Linked DNA regions of Rattus norvegicus. The protein of the gene in region 4 binds, or shares a complex with, the protein of the main gene of each other region. Links are inferred from orthologs where the notes say so. Each region holds a gene or a part of one and is shown on either strand. Other genes may lie near its edges.

Region 1 (4,248 bases), on a different chromosome or scaffold from region 4:
CTGTGGTAAGAGTCAGGCACAGCACAGACCCGTATCAGTGGTCCAGCTTCCTGTTCCTCACCTCCAACCCCAGCCTCTGCTGCTGCCCTGCAGCCTAGATCCCTGCACTCACCTCTGCCTCCTCGTGGTGCTCAATGAGGACTTGAGGAGGAAGGTTGTATAAGTTGCAAAGCTTGGACTTCACCATGATGGGAACATAGCCAAGAAATTGTTTAATGATGCCTTTGGGGACTCCATTCACGGCCCAGCTGATATCAGCCTGTAGGCAAGTAAAAGAAAAAAAAAATGAAATTATCTTGAGATGACAGAATAAATATTTAAATAAAAATTTAGATGTATTTGTTTTTATTTTGCATATGAATGTTTTGCCTGCATGTACGTCTGTGTACCAGATGTGTGTCTGGTGCCAGTGGAGGCCAGAAGAGGGGCTTAGACCTGCTGGAACTGGAGTTCCTGGCAGCTGTGAGCCTCCATGGTGCCGGGAACCAAACCCTGGTCCTCTAGAAGAAAAGGCAGTGCTCCTAACCACTGAGACATCTCATATATTAAAAGGAGGTACTGACTTCATGTTTCAGATGACACTCGATCCCTTTAGAGGAAGACACGATCATTTCAGTGGCAACGCTAAGGAAGCAGGCCTTTCCTATAACCTTATTAGGCCCCAGCCCTAGTCTCAAGTGTGCAGGGACGGCTGCCTGCCACCACTGATGCTCACCGTCAGCTTCCCTCGGTACGTGCTCCTCCGGCCACGGCACTCAGCTGGATAAATGTTGAGCTCTTTGCAGATGGTCCCTTTGGGCACTGCGGGTGGACTGATGGCAGCGTCCACAATAGTAAGAGATATGCGCTCATCTTTGAAAGCAAATTCGAAGGGAGGTATGGCCTGAAAGACAATTCACCCTGCTAAGTCACTTACATTTTTTAACACACTCTTCACTAAGAGTCTCTGAAATCACCATGGTCTACACTCACTGACATCTACCACGCAGCAAATCTAAAAGGGACTAAAGCTATACCTAACTGGTTACTTCGCCAACTCTTTAATTATAATGTGTTTACCAAGGGCTTTTTTAATGGTGCGCTGTGTATCTGATTCTGCAGTAGGTGCTACAGACACAGAAAACGCTAAGCCAAGAGTCCACCTTCTCTGCGCATAGGAAGACAAGGAGAACTGCTTTTTTTACCGGCAAGTACATGATGATCTAAATGTTCAGCTCTGTATATTTTATTCCCTCAGACTGAAGCCTGGCAATTCAAAGAATTGTAAATGGCTTCTGTATTTCCAAGTATCAGTCAGACAGTCAAAGCTCTCCCACATCTCTCCATCCCTAATTCTCACAATACAGTTGTTTGACAACAAAACCTCAGGGTACCGTCTACTACATATGTCCCTCCCCGAACCTACTCCCTCCAGAGGGAACGCACCATCTTCTTCTCTTAACCTTATCTAATGTAGACCTTTCTAAACACCTGGAATAGTTGCACTTCCATGGTGCTCCTGACTAAAAAAGCTCTACATCTTAGAGCAGTTCTCAAGAGAATGCCATTGACTGCTTGTAGGTGCCTGCTACCCCTACACAACCAACAAGGGTGAGGTACACTTAAACCTGAGAGGTGTCTTACTCTCAGAGCGTAGTGCCAGGACTACAGATGCTAACAAAAAGAGACCTTGCCTTATCGTCCTTTCCTGAACTCTGCTACCATGGTTACAATGATCCCCTGGGCTTTTTTTTTTTTTTTTTAATCTTCCTCAACAGGCCCAACTCAGAAGAGGTGGCAAGTTTTTCTCTTGCAAATTCTTTTTTTTTTTAAAGATTTATTTATTATATATAAGTACACTGTAGCTGTCTTCAGACACCCTAGAAGAGGGCATCAGATCTCATACAGATGGTTGTGAGCCACCATGTGGTTGCTGGGATTTGAACTCAGGACTTCTGGAAGAGCAATCAGTGCTCTTAACCACTGAGCCATCTCTCCAGCCCTCTTGCAAATTCTTAAAAGAAGCTGGGTGGTGGTACACACCTTTAATCCCAGTACTTGAAGGCAGAGGCAGGCAGATGTCTGTGAGTCCGAGGCCAGCCTTGGTCTACGGAGTTCCTGGACAGCAAACGCTACCGAAACCCTGTCTCGAACCGTTCCCGCTCTCCTGGCCCCCAAAGGAAACTCTAAGGGAAGCAAACTGAAGGATGTGCTCTGCTGCAGCCTGTCTGAATCAGCTTGGAACCTTCTGAGGTAGTTTTAGAACGTAAGACTCCAGGTGTGAAAAGGCGTGAGCGCTGTCAATGGGCGGAAAACAGTCTCAAATAGATCACGTCCTCACTCTCCTTTCACAGTACCCAAAACCAGGGCTCGTACCCACATATAAATCCAGAAATCACAAATACATGTTTCCCTCCATCACTAGGCTATAAGTTGTTTTCTCTCTGAACTATCCCAAAGAACTGTAGGGTGAGCTTGCATCACTATTTGAGGTCATACTGTGGCCTCCCGGCCACCTCCTCCAACCTCAGGGACCCTCCGGCCGAGGGTTCGGGCTCCGGAGCAGAGAGTGCGCTCCACTCACCTGCACCGCGTGGCTCAGCCCCTCCAGCACTGCGTAGTTGAAGGAGTCCACGTGCGCCCGCGTCAGGTCCTGCAACGCCGCCTTTTGCTGCTCCGGAGGAACCGCGTACGAGGGGTCGGTTAAATGCTTTAGGCTGGGCCCGCTGGGCAGGTTCCGCCACCGGCTGTCGACATCCATGCTTCTGCGAGCCCCGGACGGGAAACCGGAGCTACGACTCCACTCGTGGACCGCAGGAATGGCCGGAGCAACCCTACAGCCACCCTACCCCGTGGCCTGCTGGGAAATGTAGTTCCTCTTGTTCTGCCCGCCCCACCTTTGGTCCTTCCATTTCTCACGGTCGACTGGAAACTTAAACCATGGCGTGGTTGGACCTGTTAAAACTACACACAAGACACCTTTAATTCCAGCAATCGGGAGGCAGGGGAATCTCTGTGGATTCGAGACCAGTTTGGTCTAAAAAGCGAGTGCTAGGACATCTTAGGGCAATAACACAGAGGTGTCTTGAAACACCGAGAGAGGGAGGGAGGGAGGGAGAGAGGGGGAGGGAGGGAGGGAGAGAGGGGGAAGGGAGGGAGGGAGAGAGAGAACACTACATAGACAGGCAGATCTGCCTCTTCCTCTAAACTTCGATGTTTTGTATCCTACAAACCGTACTAAATCCCTTTCCACTTTAGTGTGTGACCTCTGTGACCCATATTAGCTTAATTAGTCAATTAGGACCCGATAGAAGTATCTTTAACGGTTCCCTTCTGTCCCTTTTCACAGCTTGCCTCTTACATCCTGATGCAGACTTTAGGAGACTCTGAAGTCTTGGCTTCTACTGAAATGCAGATTTGGGGCACCAACCTGTCCTCTCTACTCAACTCTTGGTTTATTATAATAATAATTATTTATTTATTGTTGTTTCTTTGTTTTTTGAGTCAGGGTCTCTCTATGTACTCCTGGCTGTCCTAGAACTTGCTTTGTAGACCAGGCTGGCCTGGCACTCCATCTGTCTCTGCCTGAGTGCTGGGTTAAAAGCATGTGCCACCACCCATGGCTCTGTCTCTTTCTCAACTCTTTTTATTTTTTTAGTTTAGTTTTTTCGCATACATTGCATTCTGGCCTCAGTTTCCCCTCCATTCCCTCCTCCCAATCTTCCCCCCTACCACCGTTCTCCTCTAAATCCACTCCTCCTCCATTTCCCTTCAGAAAAGAGCAGGCCTTCCAGTTATATCAACTGAAAATGGCATAACAAGTTACAATAAGCCTAGACACAAACCCTCATATCAAGTCTGGACAAAGCAAATCAGTAGAAGAAAAGTATCCCAAGAGCAGGCAAGAGAGTCAGAGACGGCCCCTGCTCCCACTGTCAGAAGTCCCCCAAGAATACCAAGCTATACATCAATACATGCAGAGGACCTAGCTCAGACCCATACAGGCTCCATGATTGTCGATGCAGTCTCTGTGAACCTCGACGAGCCCTGGTTATTTGATTCTGTGGGCTGTGCACTTATGGTCTACTCTACTCAACTCTGAATGTTGATCACTAGGACAGCCAGCAGTAATCAGGCCATGCTACCCAAAAGAAAAGAAGCAACCCCAGCCTGCTTCTGGATAGAAATCAAGGGGGTTGGATAGTGTCAGTGAGAATTTGTATTGTTTCCACTGTTTGGCTTTTACGAATATCAATTTTTATATTTGTG
Region 2 (4,070 bases), on a different chromosome or scaffold from region 4:
TTATACTGCTTGTGCAGTAAAGGCAGCGGTCAAACCACGGTGGATGTCTGAAGAATGTCCAACTTTAAAGGGAAAGTGGGGCTAATTTCTACTTTGAAAGAAGACACAGGTAAAATTTAGAGTTCAACCATCACAGTCTCGGCAACAGAGCTTTGCCAGTTTCACCCCTAAGTAAAACGACAGGGTCTGTCCTCCGGCATCTTGCTCAGGGGTTTTAACTACTTCTCCAGGGTTTAATCTCACAATAAGTGCACAGAAAGACAGATGAGGGTCTCTTCTATGAAAGAGTAGTTTATGTCCTTTAGAAAGTAGTTATGTGACTTAGCATGGTAATCAGGTTGGCTGCTGGAGGGCTGGGGACGCTGTCTTCAAGCTGGTCCTTCTTCAGTATACGTTTTCCTTACTTTGTACGCTTCTGGTGAATGAAACGACACGACTTTACATTTACTCTATTGTTCACTTACTGGATGGCAGGTATTTAAACACGGGTGAATGGGAGCTTAGGAGAGTGGAAGATGGTCTGCAAGTGAAAGCCAAGACCAATCTCCTAGTAAATCCAAAGAAGTGCTTTAATAACTAACCTCCCTCTCCCTCATCTGGCAAGTGCCTAGGGAGAGAAGAGCCCTAGTCACACCAGTTGCACCATCTTCAAATCCCTAAACTCCCTCTCACCCTCACCATTCCACACTCCTTACGAAGCTGACTCACTCAAGTGCTCAGAACTGCCCAAAGCTGACGCGAGGAAGCCGGTGTAGCCGAGAGACGAACGGCCAGGAGGGCCCAAAAGAATGCTTCTTAGCTTTGCTTTTGACTACTGAGCGGCTGCAAAAGGAAAACAAAACGGTCTCGGGAACCAGCAAAAGTTGCGGTTCTCTCAATCCAAGAGGTATCAGTTGCTCTGGAAAAATCAGTACAGTTTTAGGGGGACGCTCCCGCCCCCTTCCCCTGCTACGTGTAGGATTCCCTGCAAAAGCAAATAGTCCAGGATTAGTGCGGAGCAGGAAAATAGCGAGTGGCCTAGCACTAGCTACTCGCCTTAACTTGGTCGACGTCATAGTCCCAGACTGCGTGCCGCCGTATATTCCCTTCCGCCAGAGGTTCGGCTCCTTCCCTTAAGCGGCCTCGAGTACCTGCGCCATTAATTATGACGTCACGACCCAACGGCCACCAGGACCCGGAAGACGCTCTAGCCCGCCGGGCGCACTCGCTGCCTGGCGCCTTGGGATCGGACGCTCTAGCCCGCGGCTGGGATCTGTACTCTATCTCCCTTCCGCCTACCTCCTGCCGCACAAGGCTCCCCAGCAGCTGAGGCTCCAGGCTCCTAGCACTCCAAACTCTGCGGTCAGAGGATCCTGTGGGAGGAGGACTCAGGTAATTCCCGCTAGGGAAGCGGTGAGGAACCACCTTCAAGGCCAGACTCCTGCGCCTCAATAATAAACTCCTCTTTCCCAGCTCTCATCCGCCATGGAGCTGGCCCGCCCCTGCTCCAACTTTCAATCAGACTTGGATTTCTGCCCAGATTGTGGCTCCGTCCTGCCGCTGCCTGGAGTTCAGGATACTGTCATCTGCCCTCGTTGTGGCTTCTCCATCGATGTGCGAGGTGAGGGGCTGGTATGCTAGCTACGTCCACGATGGAGGTGACCTCAGCACTGGTTGGGCTTAGGGAGGTGAGACTCAGAACAGGAATCTGTTAGGGAGACATTGACCAAGGGAAGAAACTCAAAGGGAGGTCGTGACTCACCTGGGAGAGTGTTGCTGGGATTCGTTGCCTCTTTTGCTATTTCTACTGTTATTTTTTATTGGTTTGTTTATTTTTACTTCCTGTGCAGATTTTGGAGGGAAGGTTGTGAAGACCTCAGTAGTGTTCAACAAACTGGGGACTGTCATACCTATGTCTGTGGATGAGGGACCTGAATCCCAGGGACCAGTAGTAAGTTGATAAGGACTAGCTCCAAAAGAACAATGGAAAGGGGAATTGGGAGACCTGGTTTTGCACTCCATTCCGTGAGAATGTCCAAGGAGTGCAATAGTCTGATTTCTATGTGGAAGCAGAGACTATGATTAGAACTCCATAACCCTTCTGTTCCTTCCTAGGTTGACAGGCGCTGCTCCCGATGTGGTCACGAGGGAATGGCATACTACACCAGACAGATGCGCTCAGCTGATGAAGGACAGACTGTCTTCTATACCTGTATCAACTGCAAGTGAGACGATTACCCCTCCCATTGCCCCTTTTCAGTGCTTGCAAAACAACATTAATGACAGACTCATATTATTTCATTTGGTCCGGTTCATTAGAGGAGGGTTTGTAGCCCCTTTTTATTTTTATTATTTACTTGGCGTTTTTCAAGACTTAGAGCTCACCCAGGCTGGCTTTGAACTCTCAACCATACAGCCTAGGTTAACCTCAAGTTTCCTGCCTCTGTTTCCTGAGTGCTGAGATTCAAGCATGTGCCACTGCAGCTGGCTTGTTAAAAAGACTGTTTATCTTTTAAAGTTATGTGTAGGTGTTTATATCTGCATATTTGAACGTGCAGGTACCCACCAAGGCCAGAGACCTTGGGTCCCTGGAGCTGGAATTACAGGTAGCTCTGAGCCTTTGGATGTGGGTGCTGAGAACTGAACTTGGATCCTCTGCAGATCCTCCTAAGCGTTGAGCTATCTCACAGCCCCCCCAACACCCACCCCCTTACTGTTTTTACAGCTAGTTTTCTAAACCTATTAAGATGTATGAAAAGAGAGCTATGTGTGGTAATGTGTGCCTCAAAAGGAGGATCGTGGTTTCAAGGCCAGCCTGAGCTACACAGGCTGTCACCAAAGCAAAATGAAAACCAAAGCTTCTAGGAAAATTTAAAGCACAGGAAGTAGGCATTGTTCTGCACAGTTGGACAACATGCTGAAATTTTACACTGTGAAGGAGTGACTTGACATAATCTTGCATGATTCAAAGGACGTGGTCTGGATGGTTTGGAGCAGTCTTGTCTTGGTTGTTGTGTAGTTCTACATAATTGTGTGGCTTTCTGTGCTTTTGCTTTTTGTTGTTTTCCTTTCTCCTGGGGGTACCGCTTTAATTCTCGGCCTCAGGCATGTGAAAGAAGTGCTCTGCACTCAGTGGTGCCCCGAGCTCTCTTGTATTTGTTCTCTTTAGAATTGTAATTAATGTTTTTCTTCTTCTTAATCTTCTTATGCTGCTTCTACCTCTGAGATTCAAGGATTACAGGCGGGTCGGTGCCACCATAACTGTTCTGAGGATCCAACTCTGAGCTTTGGGAGAACTATATAAGCACTCTTACCAGCTCAACCACATACCAGTCCCTTAGGTTTCCCAAGCTGAGACTTGACTTACCTTTTGTCAGTCTGGAAATATATCAGCCATTATCCCATTCCAGTATTGCTTGTCCCCCATGTCCTCAAATTTCTTATTAGACTTTCACATCTCTCATCTTTGTATTTTCCATCCCATTTCTGTTTATAGAGTCTTCTGGGTAATTTCTCCAGATCTTTCTTACAGAGAGGTCAGAAAAAGATGTCAGATTTTTCTCTTCAGTTTGTATGTTTGTGGTGGGGAGAATGTTGTAGGTGTAGTGTATTTATGTGTTCATGTGGATGTATGCATGTATTTGTGCATGTGTATATTTGGTAGCCAGTGTTAGACACTGGGTATTTCTCTCTCTCTCTCTCTCTCTCTCTCTCTCTCTCTCTCTCTCTCTCTCTCTGTGTGTGTGTGTGTTTTGAGACAGGGTTTCATTATATTCTTGGCTAGCCTAGAAATCTTTGGAGACCAGACTGGCTTCAAACTTCCAGATACCAATCAGCCTCTGTCTCCAGAGCGTTGGAATTAATGTATGCCGCCACTTCCAGTTCTCCACATTATCTTACGAGGCAGAATCTCTGATCCTGGAGCTCAGACTAGGCCGGTTACCCAGTCAGTGCGTTTTGGACATTCATTTTCCCACTGTCCCATGTTTCCCAGATCTAGTAGAGCCCATTCTGTACATGTGGACTACCACACCCAGAATTTTCTTTACTTTTAAATGGATCCCAGGAATCCAAATTCAAGTTTTCATGTC
Region 3 (4,070 bases), on a different chromosome or scaffold from region 4:
AGAGTTTGTGTCCGTTACCATGAAACAATTTGTAGGCCTCACTATTTTCCACTGTTATTAATCTCTTCTTCCGTACTTTATATTGTTCATAAACTAATAACCAACAATGACTATTACTAAAAACAAAGATTTCCTGAAAAGTAAAAAAGACTTATCAACTAGTTTTTATATTACTGAAAGCCCATAATGAATGGTACATGAAAATGCTAATCACATTTACTTTATATAAAAACCTCTGCCAGGCCTTGGGAGTACATGTCTTTAATCCCGGATTTGGGGGGTAGAGGTGGTGGGCGGGGATAGGTGGATCTCTGAGTTTGAGGCCTGTCTTAGTCAGGGTTTCTGTTCCTGCACAAACATCATGACACAAAGCAGGTTGGGGAGGAAAGAGTTTATCCAGCTTACACAGTCACATTGCTGTTTCATCACCAAAGGAAGTCAGGACTGGAACTCGAGCAGGTCAGGAAGCAGGAGCTGATGCAGAGGCCATGGAGGGATGTTACTTACTGGCTTGCCTCCCGTGGCTTGCTCAGCTGGTTTTCTTATAGAACCCCAGGACCACCAGCCCAGGGATGGCACTACCCACAATGGGCTTGGTCCTCCCTCCTTGATCACTAGTTGAGAAGATGCCTTACAGCTGGGTCTCCCGAAGGCATTTCCACAACTGAGGCTCCTTTTCTGTGATAACTCCAGCCTGTGTCAAGTTGGCCTTCAAAACTAGCCAGTATAAGGCCACAGAGGTTTAGGAAGGCCAGTGATAACCTTAATAAATGAATTAAAAATGTATTTACTGGGTTTTAAAATTTGTTTTATTCAGGTTTATTTTATGCACAAGTGCTTTTGCCTGTATGCATGTATGTACCATTTGGGTCCCGCGCACTGGTAGGTCAGAGGTCGGCCTATCCGACCACCTGTGATTGTGAGCAATCATGTTGGTTCTAAGGCCCTCTGAAAAAGCAGCAATGCTCCTGCCTGCAGATCCAGCTCTCAGGCCCCTAGTTGGTCCTTTGAGACTGGGTCTCACTAAGTAGCTTTAGCTGGCCTGGAATCCTAAGTGTAGACCAGACTGGCCTGGAATTCACAAGGAGCTGCCTGTCTCTACCCCACAAGTTTTGGGAAAAATAAATCCTATTAAAATAATTAATCTGGGTATACCTCCTGTGGAGGCTCCACTCTTTCAGTTCTCAATAAGTCCACATGCACTCTGCTTAAAAAATAATCCAAAAGTTATTACTACTTTGATCAGATCTTAGTCTTTTTTTTTTTAAAGATTTATTTATTTCATGTATGTGAGTACACTGTCACTGTCTTCAGACACACCAGAAGGAATCAAATCCCATTACTAGGTGGTTGAGCCACCATGTGGTTGCTGGGACTTGAACTCAGGACCTCTGTAAGAGTGGTCAGTGCTCTTAACCACTGAGCCATCTCTCCAGCCCCAGATCTTAGTCTTTATCAACCCAAGTATTAGTTACTTCCTCTTCACATTTAAAAAGTATACTTAAAAGGATACATCTCTTAGTCCTTTTCTTGTACATTATTCTGTATCCACATTCTCTGCATCTGATTGGATCCCTGGATTTTATTTCATTTTCGGTGTGACACTCTGGGAAAGAAAGCACATTTATTCAAAGCCTGAAAGAGAAACACTCCAGGGAAGCAAACAGTAACAACATATTAAAAACAGGAGGAAACCAGGGCACCAAAACATCCAAGTACATTCTTATTACTGAACAGACCAAGGAGAAAGAAGAGCTGTAGGCAGTACACCTTTTCCAGATAAAAGGAAGAAATCTTAATAAGGTAGAGGGATTTTAAAATTAACAATCGCTAAAGTGCTCCACGTTATAATTTTAAAGATTTGTACTCATGTATGGAAGGATTCTTTTTAATGGGAGGGGGGGGCGTTCCTAAGTAAAGCATTATTTAAATGTTAATCTTACCTCCACAAATATATATCATTGGCTGCTGCTTTGGTGGTTGAACATCTTTCTGGGTGTCCATTGTTCGTGCCTGAAATGAGAGCCAAAGACTGAGTAACAGGGCCTTCGCACAAAACATGCCCCATTTGATTTATCTTTTTCTCAGAAGCTATACGAGGTTCTGATTTTCCGACCAAAGAGGAAAACCTCAGTAGAATGTTTGCCTAGTGTGCAGAAGCCCAAGAATCAATACCCAATATTACGGATGGGGAAATTAAAAAAAAAAAAAAAGTAATTATCTACTTCCCCTAAACAGTGATGTGGGCTGGGTCTGAAGGATACAGCACATTTTCAACAATAGTAAATACATTATGAATGTTTATTACTCTTCAGGATCCTAGAGGGTATTACACACGAAGAAACGGAGGCTAAGGACATGTTGGTTTGTCCAGTATCACTCCGCAAAGGAATTCCGATTTGAGCTGGGAGCAGTAGCTCCGTCAAAGCTTGTCTCAACATTAACTCCACCGGGGATCTTTATTTTCGCATTTGGTTCTTTAAGAAGGCTTTGAGAGTCTTCACTTTGTAATTCAGGTTAGCCGAGAACTCACTTTGTAGCCTTAGATTGAAAGTCAAGGTGCTTGTTGATGGCAGAATTCTCCTACCTCTGCTTCCCAAGCGCTCAGATGGCAGGCGTGTGCTACCGCTCTCGGTCGTCCAGGGATATTTTAAAGCCAGGTGTCTCTCCTAGTTTTGCCTCCAATTTACCTCCCAAATCACCCGCCGATCCCTTACCTCCGCAGCTCCGGAAAGCGTCCCTCCTCTGTGCACGCAAACGCTTTCTCCGGCTCTTAGAAGCAAGAGACACTACCGGCGCTGCTTCGCCAACTTCCGGCGCTGACTTATGACGCAAAAGCCCTGTCCCTTTCTGCCTGGCAGTACCGAAGAACTAGGGCGCTTGTTGGGGACTGGTTTATAGTGTTTCTCTCCTTAATTCCTGTAGGATTTTGTTTTGATTTGCCCCTCTCTCCAGGGTAGCAAAACATTCCCACAGCTCGGCGTTCGAGAGTCTGTGCTTGTGTAACGGCAGATAGAGCAGGAAGCCAAAACAGGTGCTGCTGGAATCTTAACCCAGCCATTGCTTGGGCGAACACCAGCAGGCCACCCTACCAACACTTCACTTCCCAATATCACGGTTTTCAAATTGTTCAATACCCATGCAGGTTTTTGTTTGTTTGTTGTTTTCAAATTCCAGTTTTCTTAGTTTCTTGTCACCTCTCTTCTATTTTATGTTGGGGAATGGAATGATAGGGGAAGCCCGAGGCTTGATAGTCTATGTAGCCCAGGCTGAGCTTGCTCTTAAACCGGCGCAGTTCTCTACCTTCGCCGCCTCAATGCTGAAATTAATTGCGCAAATCACAACGCCTGCCCATCTTCCTTTTTGAAGCCAAGGTTTTCACAACTAAGGTTTTCACAAGGACAACTCCATCAATTACTTCCACTAGTTGGTGGCTTTAGCTTTTCTCGTAGTATTCTCCCTCTTGTGTTTGATCAATTCAATAGAGTACAGGTGGTATGTGTTCTCACAGATCAAACTTTTAACTCAGTAAAAATCTGTTGGGTTCAGGACGTTTACACTCAATTATTTCACACCATTTATTTTAAAAATAGAGTGGACAAACTAATAGAAGAAAAACTAGGGAAGCATCTGGAACACATGGGCACTGGAAAAAATTTCCTGAACAAAACACCAATGGCTTATGCTCTAAGATCAAGAATCGACAAATGGGATCTCATAAAACTGCAAAGCTTCTGTAAGGCAAAGGACACTGTGGTTAGGACAAAACGGCAACCAACAGATTGGGAAAAGATCTTTACCAATCCTACAACAGATAGAGGCCTTATATCCAAAATATACAAAGAACTCAAGAAGTTAGACTGCAGGGAAACAAATAACCCTATTTAAAAATGGGGTTCAGAGCTAAACAAAGAATTCACAGCTGAGGAATGCCGAATGGTTGAGAAACACCTAAAGAAATGTTCAACATCTTTAGTCATAAGGGAAATGCAAATCAAAACAACCCTGAGATTTCACCTCACACCAGTGAGAATGGCTAAGATCAAAAACTCAGGTGACAGCAGATGCTG
Region 4 (4,063 bases):
GGATGTCGATATTGGCATACAAACTGAAGGCCTTTGAAGCTTGTCTCTTCCCTGCCTGCCACATCTGAAAGGAGATGGGTATTATGAAAAACTCCTGGCTCTAGACGGTTACCCGGCCTCCGCTTGATTTCTGTGTATGTAGGTCTAAGTGGAAAAAGTGTATCAACCTAGGACACACACAGGTCTTCCTTTCCATTGGCTTACCTGATCTGCTACCTGCCGGCTCAGTTGTCCCTTAAAGCCTTTCATGCCGAGAAACTCCCCGTCCTCTTCTTCTGCAGCAGCTGCATCAGCATCTACCTCTTCCTCACGCAGGCGCTGATGTAGTTCACCCATGTCCTCGAAGCTGGAGCCTGAGGTATCGTCCATGTTCTCCATATCAATCACAGCCGAGCCCCCACCCTGTGAAGACAATGGCTCCTAGTGTGAGGGGCCCTTCCGTTGCATCCTTTGGTTCTCCCCTCATCTGACAGTTTGAGGCTTTGCTCTTCCACTGACGAGGATATGGCTTGGAACTGCTACCCACTGTGTTATACATAACCTTTCACTGCTGGCAACTCTTGGTGGCGACACTTGTAGTTCGCCCTCCCCCCCCCGCCCCTCCCAAAGCTCCAAAGAGTTGCAAAGAAGCCCATCTGCCTTTCCCAACTCTCAAACAAGCCTATTTTAGGAAGTGCCGAAATTCTATCCTGTAGTCCCATACTATGCCTGATCCAGGCAGATCCCCCAACCCGTCTGCAAAGCCCCGGGCAGGTACAGAGACTCGAACCTTAATCTAGCCCTTTCACGCCAGCACAAGCTCTACACACTTTCGCGTGGAAGACTGAAAGAGGACAGGCAGTGTGGCAATAGAGCCGACTTCCACGCCGCGAGAAAAAATAGCAACCACACTCGGCCGCCAGCCCGGGGAGTTGCTGGCAGCAAGAGCTCTCAATACCTGGATGTTTTCTTCGAAGCCTCCCCATTCCGGGCCAGCACCATTTCGGACGCCGCTGGCCGGCGCCGCCTGAGTCGCCATGTCCCTCGAGGCTTCCCGTCGCTGAAGCTAGCGCTCGTGGGAATAGTGTGAGACCTGGGCCCGAGGGAAGGAAAGGTTCAGAGGAGCGACTAGGCGAGGTAGGACCAGCCGGAACGCAAAAGTGAGAAACCCGGATGTTTGGCCCCAATTGACGTCCGGAAGTGAAGGACGTGGACAGAGGCGGGACAAGATATCGCGACAGTGAAGATTGCCGGAGACGGAACGTTGCCGCGGAGACGGAGGCGGGCCGCTAGCACGCACGCGCTAACTTGGAGCCTCCTCTCACGGCTGATGGTGGAAGATGGCGGCTGCTCAGGCGGTGGAGGAAATGCGGACTCGCGTGGTTCTGGGAGAGTTTGGGGTTCGCAATGTAAGAGATCGGACCGCGGGAGTGATGGGGGAGGCACGGGAGAGAGGAGGCCTGGTGTATGGCCTGGCCTCACTGCCCTTTCTGTTGGCTCTAGGTCCACACCACTGACTTTCCCGGTAACTACTCCGGTTATGATGATGCCTGGGACCAGGACCGGTTCGAGAAGGTGGGTAGGGCTGGAAGTGTCCAGACGGTTTGAGGGGCCAGACCTCACAGGTTGGGTTGGGGATCTCTGTTTTCATGAAACATGAAAACATGTTTCCCGATCCATGGACGGGCCGTCAGACACCGCTCCTGTTTGTGGAATAAATTGTTTGCTCTCGGTGGGGTAATGGGCCACAAACAAGTTATTTCAGTATAATAAAATAGCGATGAAGATGGCTGGGATGGGGTAGGAATCATTGATGCACTTAATCCAGCCAATTGAAGGGACGTAGTTAGGGAGTGACATTTGAATTAAGCTTTGAACTATGAATAAAAGTTGAGCGGTGAAGGCCTAATTCGAGTTTCATTATAAACGCTTGTATAAGGTTTGCTCTTAGTCAGCTGCAGCAGCTCATTTTTGTCAGAATGTAAGTCCACCAGCATGAGCAGTAGATAAGATTGGAATGCATTTTAGACTCTGTAGGTGATAGATTTTTATTTTTATGTCTTTTTGAAACAGGGTTCCATGGCTGCCCTGGCACCCCCTCTGTAGACCAGGCCGGACTCAAACTCAGATTGGTCCACCTGCCTCTGCCTCCCGTGCACAGGATTAAAGGCATGAGCCACCATGCCCCGTTAGAATTTTTCAGTAGACTGATAAAATTTTGCAGTCTTGATAGCTGGGAAGGAATGAATCTGGCGAATCTGCCAGCTAGTGTATGGAGGCTGAAATTGGGGGCATGGATGAACTGCAGATGGTGGTAATGGAGTGAGAGTAGTAACTAGCTGATGCAGACCATTGCTGTGGTGAGGGCAGTGTGAGAAAGGACCTTGTGGCTTGAGGAACGGATAACCTTTTCTTGGTATGTATGTTTGCCTGCATGTGTATTTGTGCACCACTGCTCCCAGCAGTGTGAGGAGGTCCCACTGGGTGCTGGGAACCAAATCCATTCTTCTGCAAGAGCAGTAAGTGCTCTTAACTGCCGAGTGGTTTCTCCAGCCACACTGGGGAACTGTGTTGCTGGCTGTGTCATTTGCTAAGCGGGAGGACCAGGGCGATGGCACAGTTGTTTGCGAAGTCTACCGGTCGAGTGGTGATGCTTGAAGTCAGACCAAGGTCAGGAGCTGCTATGCCCTTGCTTGAGTCAGCAGCATGAAGGTCACCCAGGGGATTTAGAACCTGGGAGAAAGTAACGTTTACTGGGTGGAAGAGAAAATTTAGATAAGGAAAAGTAGATATTAAAAAATGCAAGTATCAAATGGTTTAAATAGGTGGGAAGTTCTGCTTTTTGTACAGTAGCTTTGCTGGGTGGTCTGTGGACTATCTGAGAAGCCAGGCATAGTGGCACACACCTTTAATCCCAGCACTCAAGAAGCAGAGGCAGGGGGTTGGGGATTTAGCTCAGTGGTAGAGCACTTGCCTAGCAAGCGCAAGGCCCTGGGTTCGGTCCCCAGCTCCGAAAAAAAAGAAAAAAGAAGAAAGAAAAAAAGAAGCAGAGGCAGGTGGATCTTTGAGTTTGAGGCCAGCCTAGTCTACAGAGTGAGTTCTAGGACAGCCAGGGCTACAGAAAAACCCTGTCTTGAAAAACATAAACAAGGAACAGTACACTGCCCTCCCAGTGGGACTAGAGACAAAATGTCTACTGATGATCTTGGGGGATAGTGCCAGGGTAGACTGGGTTCACACAAGAGGAACAGGTTTCCCACCCACTGGGCTTTCTCTACCCCTCTAGAACTTCCGTGTGGACGTGGTGCATATGGACGAGAGCACACTGGAGTTCGACATGGTGGGGATTGATGCTGCCATTGCCAATGCCTTCCGGAGGATTCTGTTAGCTGAGGTATTAGAAGTCGCGGGCTGGAGTGTGGAAACTGTCACCCCATCTGTAGACTACCGGGCGGGTGGGGCGGTTTACACCTATAATATGAACACTTCAGAGGGCAGTCCGAACTACACAGTAAACCTTGTATCAAATCTGAAGGGCAAAACTAAGAAGGGCTGCCCCTCGTTTTTCCAGGTAGGGGATGGGTGGAGGTCAGGTAGATCATTTTGCTTCCTTGGGCAGGTGCCAACAATGGCTGTGGAAAAGGTTTTGGTGTATAACAACACATCCATCGTCCAGGATGAGATCCTTGCTCACCGCCTGGGGCTTATCCCCATTCTTGCTGATCCACGTCTCTTTGAATATCGGAACCCAGGTAAGGCTGAGAGGTTGAGATTATGAGTTAGGCAGAACTGTCCTGGAATCTGTCATGGGCTCAGATCCCAGGCCTAATTAACTGTGATCTTAGTTGGCTCTTGTACATGGGCCTTCGCCTGTGAGAACGTTCTCTTGCCCCTGCCTTTAATCCCTCACTCTTAGCACAGTGCCAGCAGCGCTCAGAGGCTCTTTCCACCTTTACATGGTTTCTAGGGATTGAAGTTGGGTCTGTAGGTTTAAGCAAGCATGCACCCTCTGAGGCTTCTTGTCAGCCCGTTACTAGAGCTAGTAGGGCCAGGCAGGCATGGTGGTGTACATCTTTACTCCCAA
Region 5 (4,238 bases), on a different chromosome or scaffold from region 4:
AGTTACTATGACCTCAAAGCAACACTGTGTGCAGCTGGGAGCGGGGAAGCAAGAGTATGAACTAGAGGGTTATAAGCTTCAAGATTGAAGCTATGCTAAAAGAAAAGGGGGGGTGTGAAAGAGCCCGAGTAGGGACCAATCTGGAGCCAGTGGGAAAATTCCTACCACAAACCTCCAAGCACAAGGACCCCTCCCTTCCAGGAAGAAGAAAAAAGCTGGTTTAGGTCCTGGAACAGCTACAAGCCAAACCGTCACACAAAGTTACCTGACTCCCAACTGAATGGTACACAGAGTCGATCAGAAGAACGTTGTTTGGCTTCACTAAATGAGCATAGTACCCTGCCTGGTTACCATTGTCCAAATTCCGCCCCAGTTGTTTGCAAGGTATATAACTCCGTTAGAGTCTGCTCTTAGGGTTGTCTCCTCTTGAAGTGGGATGACCCTGACATGTCGGAATGATTAGACCCCTCTTGCTTTTGCGTCAGTCACCTGCCTCCGTGGGTCTCATTCAGGGGGTCCTGGAAGAGGTTCAATTCAGACCTCACAGACTACAGCACCAGACTAGAACTGCTCAGACAGACAGCCTCATGGACAGAACATTACCAAATTCTCCTTGCCTTTTCTGTCATAAGACAACTATTATTAGATTACCCCGATCACAGCCTGTAAGCCAGTCTAATAGAATCACCTCCATTCTATACTCAATCAGTTCTGTTCCTTTAGAGATCCTTTATGCATAGACTCAGGAACACAGATTCAGGTCCCCCCGAGTAACCTGCTCCACCTTGGAGACCGATTTATGAAGTCTTGATAATTACAGAACAAAGGGAAGTCATAACCCAAAGAAGCTTTCAAATACATTGGTGGGAATGTCATGTAGGTAGGTTACATTGAAGCAGATCTGTTCCTTGTCTCAAGATTCTATCTGAAGACATTCTTAGCCTCCAGGTGTGTAGAAGCGAGTGGTCAGCAGAGCCACACATCCTAAGTTTCATGTCATAGTGCCAGGGCCAAGGCAACCTACAGGCAGCGCCCAGGACTTGCTGCCTGTGAATTTGAAAAAATCCCCCAAGAGGACAACCTAATATTCATTCCCGTTCCCCGGTTTAAGCCATGCATGCACCCAGAGGCGTCTGTGAAGAGGATTCTAGAACTTGTGGGCAACAAATACAGTGAGTGGCTCATCAGTGCTGCTCAGTTGTTTGTTGAGAGGATCAATTAAACTTCCCAACACTCTTGTAAGATAGGAAGTTAATGAAGTGGAGGCAGGATCGTCCAACACCAGGACGATGGGAATTTCACAGCTCGGTTCAATTCGCCGCCTGCTCTGAAGGTGGCGCTGGAGGACATAGTGAGGTGAGCTGGGGCGGGACTTCCTGTCTCACTGGAGCATTTCCGGCCCGGCCCGGAAACTAGTTCAGTCTGGGTGGCAATGCTCCAGTAGTTGTGGGTGGCGGCGTTGAGGAGTGGCAGTCCGGCTCATTTGTGTCCCCGGGATCAGGTGAGACTGTTGCCGGGAACCGGCAGGGCCCGCGTGCGGGGATGCTGAGAGCACGTGGCAGGCCACATGGCTCTCGAGCAGGCCGATTCCAGCGCTGAGTCTTATCCTAGATGTTTGCCATGAGGGAGGGCGGTCCCGGAAAACTTGTGAGCAGATTACGGGTCTTCAGTTCCTAGACTCTTAAATTCAGAGCCATCACATCTCGTCCAGCAGCTCGGCCGGTCGGATGTAAGATTTAATTTTTACTAAAAATGAGGACTGTTTGACAGTTACCGCTTGAAGAGAGTTCCTGCTTTAACTCAGACCACGGGCATTTCGGGAGAAGCCTGTATTTGGCCGGGAAAGCCGGAATAGTACGCAGCTCTGGTACGCCCACAGAGGGGTGGAAGAAAGTCTGCCTGATTGAAGACCGCTCAGCTCTCATTAACATCCCACTTGGTCCTCTCACTCTCCCGTTCATATATTCAGCGGTTGCCTATCTCTGGCATTTTACCTGCCTCGGGACCTCTTGCGCTCACCGGTCATTCTCCCCAGCCCCTCTTCCAAGGTGTGCACAGAGCTATCTCCCTGGCTGCCCCAAGGGAGCACTCCCTTGTGATTGGGAGTGAGCAGCTCTGGCGTTAGGCTGCAGATTCTGGTCTTTACCTGCTGTCTTGTAGTGGTCTCCCCTGCGGGCACTGTGTGCTCTCTGGGAGCCCTGGGGCACTGTTGAGACTCTTAATGAAGTCCTGTGTAACGTTAGATACATTGTCTCCAGGATGGACTTCCCCAGCACCCTGCGTCCTTCGTTGTTTATGGCCGGTCCTCTTGGCATGACTGATGGCCCCGACTTGTCCTTCATGTGCAGCTGGAGAGATGCACTGACCCTGCCAGGGGCCCAGCCACAGAACTGCAGGGTGAGGATGGAAGTGGGGTCCTTTCCTTGGTCTCTTCTTCATTCACTTATCGGAGAAAGAGGTCCCAGCAGATGCTAGTGCTGTGCACCGGCCGCCCTACTATCCAGACAGAATCTCTCAATAGAGGCTGTAGCTCCTCTTTCCTTGCTCCCTCTCCCTGGGTTCAGCAAATGTTTATTAGCCAGTGTCTCTGTGTTAGGGTCCTTACAGGCCCAAGAGCCCACCATGAGGAGGTCAGGCAAACCCACCCAAGGGACTGCCAGTTATGGTGGGAGACAGTACGCCGATGGGCAGACCCTGTGTAGTGTGGCCTTGGCTCTACTAGATCATGAAATGGCAGGGGAAGGGGACAGGATTTCTGCTCTTGGGAAGGCCATCTTCAGCTGCCTTGTATTGAGTACGTAGAGGGGAGCAGGTCAAAGAGAGGGTATTGGGGGAGGGGAGTTCTTGGTCCTTGGGACAAGGGAGACTTGTTGGTACCTACTTGGAACCCATTGAATGACAGGACTCAGAGGAAGTGGCTGAGAAAATTGGAGCTCATTGCGTTCTGGGTGGGACAGTCAAGATATAGGTGCTTCCTTTGAAAGCTGCTATGAATGGAGTTTAGAATACAGGCTCTGGAGTTGGTTGCCTGGGTTCAAGTCTATGCCTGTTTTTAGTTGACTGTCACCTAGGGCAAGTGACAGCAGCCTCACCCTTCGGGTTCTACATTAGCACAGTGACTAGCTTTTTAGATTTGTCACGACGACTGAGTTGGTTAAGGGCAGGGAGCGCATACTTGCCATGTTATTGCTGCCCTGTATCCCTAGGACCAGACATCGTCCTTTGCCAAGAACCTGCTGTGGGAGCCATCGACACCAGGACCCCTGCCCCTGGTGCCTCCTGGCCCTGGTAAGAGTCTCTCTCCTTCTGGGCTCCCTCCAAGGACCTTAGCCATCGCATGGACAAGGGGATCCCAGATTGCAGATACCTCCCTATTCCCTCTCAGGTTCTTCTCTGACTTCCTTCTCCCCTTAGATCCCTGGGACCCTGGTCTGGCAGCTCAGGACTTCCTCTTCCGGGGAGGTCACTACTACCAGTACCAGTCTCGAGTTGTGCTGGATGTCACTGAGCAGGTAAACGGTCTCTGGGTGGGACTGTTTCTCACAGCCTGAGCTATGCTGACTCACACAGCCATTCCCCACAGCTCAGCCGCTTCCTGTGGGACCATGGGGATATAGCCTTTGCACCCCTGGGGAAACTCATGCTGGAGAACTTCAGATTGGAGGGGAACCGGGTAAGGAGCCACCACTGGCTGGGTGGATGGTCAGCCACCTCCCTGGGTGCAAACCTGACAGGCCTTCCCTGCAGGGCTACTCGAAAAAGGTGACCATAGTCAGCGTGAAGAGGCTGCTTCAGGACCTCGGTGGACACCAGCCCTGGGGGCAAGTAGCCAGTGAGAAAGCAGCCACGGACAGACCTGTGGTGGGATGTGGAAGGAGCTGGGACACTGACCAGGTTTTCAGCATAGTGGCTTTTCCAGCCCCACACAGTCGTGAGCCATGAGTTCACAAAATTCCCAGTTCCAAGCAGCTTAAGGGAAAAGGGGGGTCGGTGAACCTGAGGCACGGCTACATCCAGGTGTTTAGAATCTCGTCTCACCCACTTACCTCTGTCTGACTTAACTCAAGCAACAATACGATGGCTTCTTATTCCAAAGGAAGAGTCAGTGTCTGAACTACTGCAAATCCTACAAAAGACCTCAGTTGCCCTGACTGGGGACATCTGTGAGCCACTTGCTAGGAGGCACAGAAATATTCAGGGACAGGGTACGGTGTATTCTAGGCAGCTAAGAGAGAGGT
Region 6 (2,224 bases), on a different chromosome or scaffold from region 4:
TTCTCTTCCTATCCTCTCTATCCCCTCAACAGAGCCCATCAGTAGCTGTGGGGTGTGGAAGTGAAGCTGGCAGAGGAACAAATGGGAAGGAGGCCGAGTACCACAGCCTCCTGTGACTCCTAGAAGAGTCTGATCTACTGTACACAGTATAGCACCCAGTAGACCTGTGAGACAACACAGAGGACCCAGGGCCAAGGCAGTGGCTGCTTCTCCAGGTGACCAGCCCCTTCCCTACCGGCTCCTGGTCATACTTGTGCCAAGTCATGTAAACGTGTAGACATATATAAACACATACACAAATAAATAAATGAATGAATAAAAAACAAACAATCTGGGCATGGTACCCACAATCATCATCCCAGAGCTAAGAAGAATCCGGAGGACATCCTGGCCAGCCAGCCTAAGAGGTGAGCCCCAGCTCTCAGTGAGAGACCAGACTCAAAGCAAAGTCCTGCTGACTTCTAGCTTCCATATGAACATGTGCACACAGACACATAAAGTTAAAATACAAACCACTACACTGTAGTGACAACTGTAAAATAAGTTCAAGACCTAGGTGTGAACGCCTGGATTTACAATAGTATATTTTTTCACAGACTTCTTCATCCGCTTGATTTTCTTTTTCAAGGTTTCATGATCTTGTTTTAAAATATACCGAAAGTATCTACAACCTAAAAGATGAAACAAAATAAGAAAAGGTTTTAATATTTATCAAATTATTAAGAAGACTTCTACATTTAAATTTTTTCTTTAGTCCTGGAACACTAATGATTCTGAATGTAGATTGGTTTGTGTCACGTATACCAATGTAGGCATCCTGTACAAGCCTCCCCAGTGAAACCCCACCACTTCACAGGCAGGGCTCACCCTCCTCAGGTAAAGCAAGCGCTTCAACTCCACCCCTCTCCTAAGCCTCCTCACAGTGATGTGCACACTACACAGACTCACTTGTTAAAGGAGCCTTCTGAAAGCTAACTGACCCTAACTCAGCTCAGGGCTTGCACTCCCATTCCAGTCACTTCTGAGGCACCTAAACCCCTGGGCATCCCAAGGACAGGTGAACGAGGGCCCACTTTCTAGCCTCAGTTGGCCAAAAGCTACATCCAGATAAACAGAAAACAAACCACCTTTCCCTAAAAGGATTCCAGCTACAAAAGCCTTTTCACAAGCCAGCTCAGCGTCTGCCTTCCAGTCACTCTTTGCCCAAAAGAAGCTGAAGTGAAAGGCTGGCCACCAGTTTCTCCTGGACTTCCACTCTTCTTCAACCCACTCACGATGGCTTCTGAAAAGGAACAGGAGAAAAGGGAAGGTCAGGGAAGCACACAGCTGTGGTCGGAATCTGTACATGAGCAGTGTCTACAGAAGACAATTCCACACACGGTGGTTGCAGTGGCGTGGGGCCAGCCCATGCTCGCTCTTTTTGTGAGTGTCCCATTTCCACCCCTAGCCAACGTGCGGCCACAGAGTGATCAGCAGCAAGGATGCTGAACTAAAATGCAGGGCTGAGATCTCAGATCCTCCGTCTCTATTGCATGATCCCAAGCAAGCAGCTAACCGTTCTGAGCCTCAGTTTCTTGGACAGCGAAAATGGCTATTTCCTGGTGTTTTTGTTAGAAGAGAACTAGTCCAACAGTGCAGCAGATTCCATAAAGCTCCTCACACAGTGTCTGCTGCAGGGTAACTTAGCTACTACTGTAATCACTGAAAAGGCACTTTACATCCGAGATAAAATCATGTGCTACCGAAATGACTACCCCAGCTCCGATGCCAATGTTACACAAACACATGAGCTTGCAGCTGCACCAAGCAAACTAAGTGTCCCCCAACAACCTGCGTAAACGTGCGCTTGAGGTCTATGGCCCCCTGTGGTAGAACGTCTACATTCAGCACGTGAACGGTGCACTTCTTGACCTACAGGACCCGTGCTCCAGTAGGGATTTCAATGGCTCTCGATCTATTCAGTGATTGACACTGAACCCTAGCACATGTCGTGGTGTGGATGCACACATCAGATCATTACGATTAGGAGAGGTGCTCTTCTAGGCCTAGGGCACTAGGAGCGGAGTCTTTGAGACATTGTAAGCTAGAGCCCTGTGAGAGCCCGGATAGGACATCAGTTGTCCCTTTCAGCAGGGGAGCACAGCAGGAGGGCACTGGGAACCAAGAAATTGGGCTTCCCCAACACCAAATCTGCTGGCGGCTTCTCCTGGGACTTCTCAGCTAC

The links.
Region 1: the proteins of Polr1c (region 4) and Polr1b are in contact, whole or in part, in a cryo-EM structure (PDB 7OBA), measured with the Homo sapiens proteins. The link is inferred for Rattus norvegicus from reciprocal best matches to the Homo sapiens genes POLR1C and POLR1B. Residues at the interface, in NP_976035.1 of Homo sapiens: Ala70, Asn74, Arg77, Arg78, Leu81, Ala82, Gln102, Asp103, Glu104, Ile105, His108, Leu112, Lys220, Asp221, His222, Ala223, Thr230, Ser232, Tyr233, Arg234, Leu235, Asp281, Thr282, Phe283, Ser284, Glu286, Arg289, Arg301; in NP_061887.2 of Homo sapiens: Arg713, Gln715, Lys761, Ala762, Glu765, Arg766, Gly767, His770, Tyr774, Gly816, Val848, Arg872, Pro874, Glu900, Asp901, Phe904, Glu906, Gly908, Lys967, Gly970, Tyr971, Asn972, Phe973, Tyr974, Arg978, Tyr980, Ser981, Gly982, Ile983, Ser984.
Region 2: Polr1c (region 4) and Polr1h share a complex: the UniProt entries of both Homo sapiens proteins name them as parts of the pol I pre-initiation complex. The link is inferred for Rattus norvegicus from reciprocal best matches to the Homo sapiens genes POLR1C and POLR1H.
Region 3: Polr1c (region 4) and Polr2k share a complex: the UniProt entries of both Homo sapiens proteins name them as parts of the pol I pre-initiation complex. The link is inferred for Rattus norvegicus from reciprocal best matches to the Homo sapiens genes POLR1C and POLR2K.
Region 5: Polr1c (region 4) and Taf1c share a complex: the UniProt entries of both Homo sapiens proteins name them as parts of the pol I pre-initiation complex. The link is inferred for Rattus norvegicus from reciprocal best matches to the Homo sapiens genes POLR1C and TAF1C.
Region 6: Polr1c (region 4) and Taf1a share a complex: the UniProt entries of both Homo sapiens proteins name them as parts of the pol I pre-initiation complex. The link is inferred for Rattus norvegicus from reciprocal best matches to the Homo sapiens genes POLR1C and TAF1A.

The regions. Positions count from the first base shown.
Region 1 is NC_086021.1:136,785,682-136,789,929, reverse strand, and holds the start of Polr1b (DNA-directed RNA polymerase I subunit RPA2), read right to left. Parts: upstream 2,801-4,248; 5' UTR 2,741-2,800; coding exon 2,564-2,740; intron 884-2,563; coding exon 716-883; intron 260-715; coding exon 113-259; intron 1-112. UniProt on the Homo sapiens protein: Catalytic core component of RNA polymerase I (Pol I), a DNA-dependent RNA polymerase which synthesizes ribosomal RNA precursors using the four ribonucleoside triphosphates as substrates.
Region 2 is NC_086038.1:1,598,900-1,602,969, forward strand, and holds the start of Polr1h (DNA-directed RNA polymerase I subunit RPA12), read left to right. Parts: upstream 1-1,270; 5' UTR 1,271-1,371; exon of another isoform or gene 1,372-1,452; 5' UTR 1,453-1,464; coding exon 1,465-1,600; intron 1,601-1,829; coding exon 1,830-1,930; intron 1,931-2,094; coding exon 2,095-2,204; intron 2,205-4,070. UniProt on the Homo sapiens protein: Core component of RNA polymerase I (Pol I), a DNA-dependent RNA polymerase which synthesizes ribosomal RNA precursors using the four ribonucleoside triphosphates as substrates. Can mediate Pol I proofreading of the nascent RNA transcript.
Region 3 is NC_086025.1:69,239,963-69,244,032, reverse strand, and holds the start of Polr2k (DNA-directed RNA polymerases I, II, and III subunit RPABC4), read right to left. Parts: upstream 2,801-4,070; 5' UTR 2,718-2,800; intron 2,014-2,717; 5' UTR 2,005-2,013; coding exon 1,944-2,004; intron 1,607-1,943; coding exon 1,514-1,606; intron 1-1,513. UniProt on the Homo sapiens protein: DNA-dependent RNA polymerase catalyzes the transcription of DNA into RNA using the four ribonucleoside triphosphates as substrates.
Region 4 is NC_086027.1:22,232,055-22,236,117, forward strand, and holds the start of Polr1c (DNA-directed RNA polymerases I and III subunit RPAC1), read left to right. Parts: upstream 1-1,263; 5' UTR 1,264-1,319; coding exon 1,320-1,388; intron 1,389-1,482; coding exon 1,483-1,554; intron 1,555-3,265; coding exon 3,266-3,373; intron 3,374-3,598; coding exon 3,599-3,731; intron 3,732-4,063. Other genes in the region: protein YIPF3, read right to left, coding at 1-64, 205-402, 938-1,018. UniProt on the Homo sapiens protein: DNA-dependent RNA polymerase catalyzes the transcription of DNA into RNA using the four ribonucleoside triphosphates as substrates.
Region 5 is NC_086037.1:64,564,800-64,569,037, reverse strand, and holds the start of Taf1c (TATA box-binding protein-associated factor, RNA polymerase I, subunit C), read left to right. Parts: upstream 1-1,438; 5' UTR 1,439-1,501; intron 1,502-2,258; 5' UTR 2,259-2,259; coding exon 2,260-2,397; exon of another isoform or gene 2,398-3,206; coding exon 3,207-3,288; intron 3,289-3,414; coding exon 3,415-3,512; exon of another isoform or gene 3,513-3,583; coding exon 3,584-3,673; intron 3,674-3,679; exon of another isoform or gene 3,680-3,747; coding exon 3,748-3,821; exon of another isoform or gene 3,822-3,894; intron 3,895-3,945; exon of another isoform or gene 3,946-4,205; intron 4,206-4,238. UniProt on the Homo sapiens protein: Component of the transcription factor SL1/TIF-IB complex, which is involved in the assembly of the PIC (pre-initiation complex) during RNA polymerase I-dependent transcription.
Region 6 is NC_086031.1:97,576,996-97,579,219, reverse strand, and holds the end of Taf1a (TATA box-binding protein-associated factor RNA polymerase I subunit A), read right to left. Parts: intron 1,283-2,224; coding exon 1,128-1,282; intron 672-1,127; coding exon 553-671; 3' UTR 501-552; downstream 1-500. UniProt on the Homo sapiens protein: Component of the transcription factor SL1/TIF-IB complex, which is involved in the assembly of the PIC (pre-initiation complex) during RNA polymerase I-dependent transcription.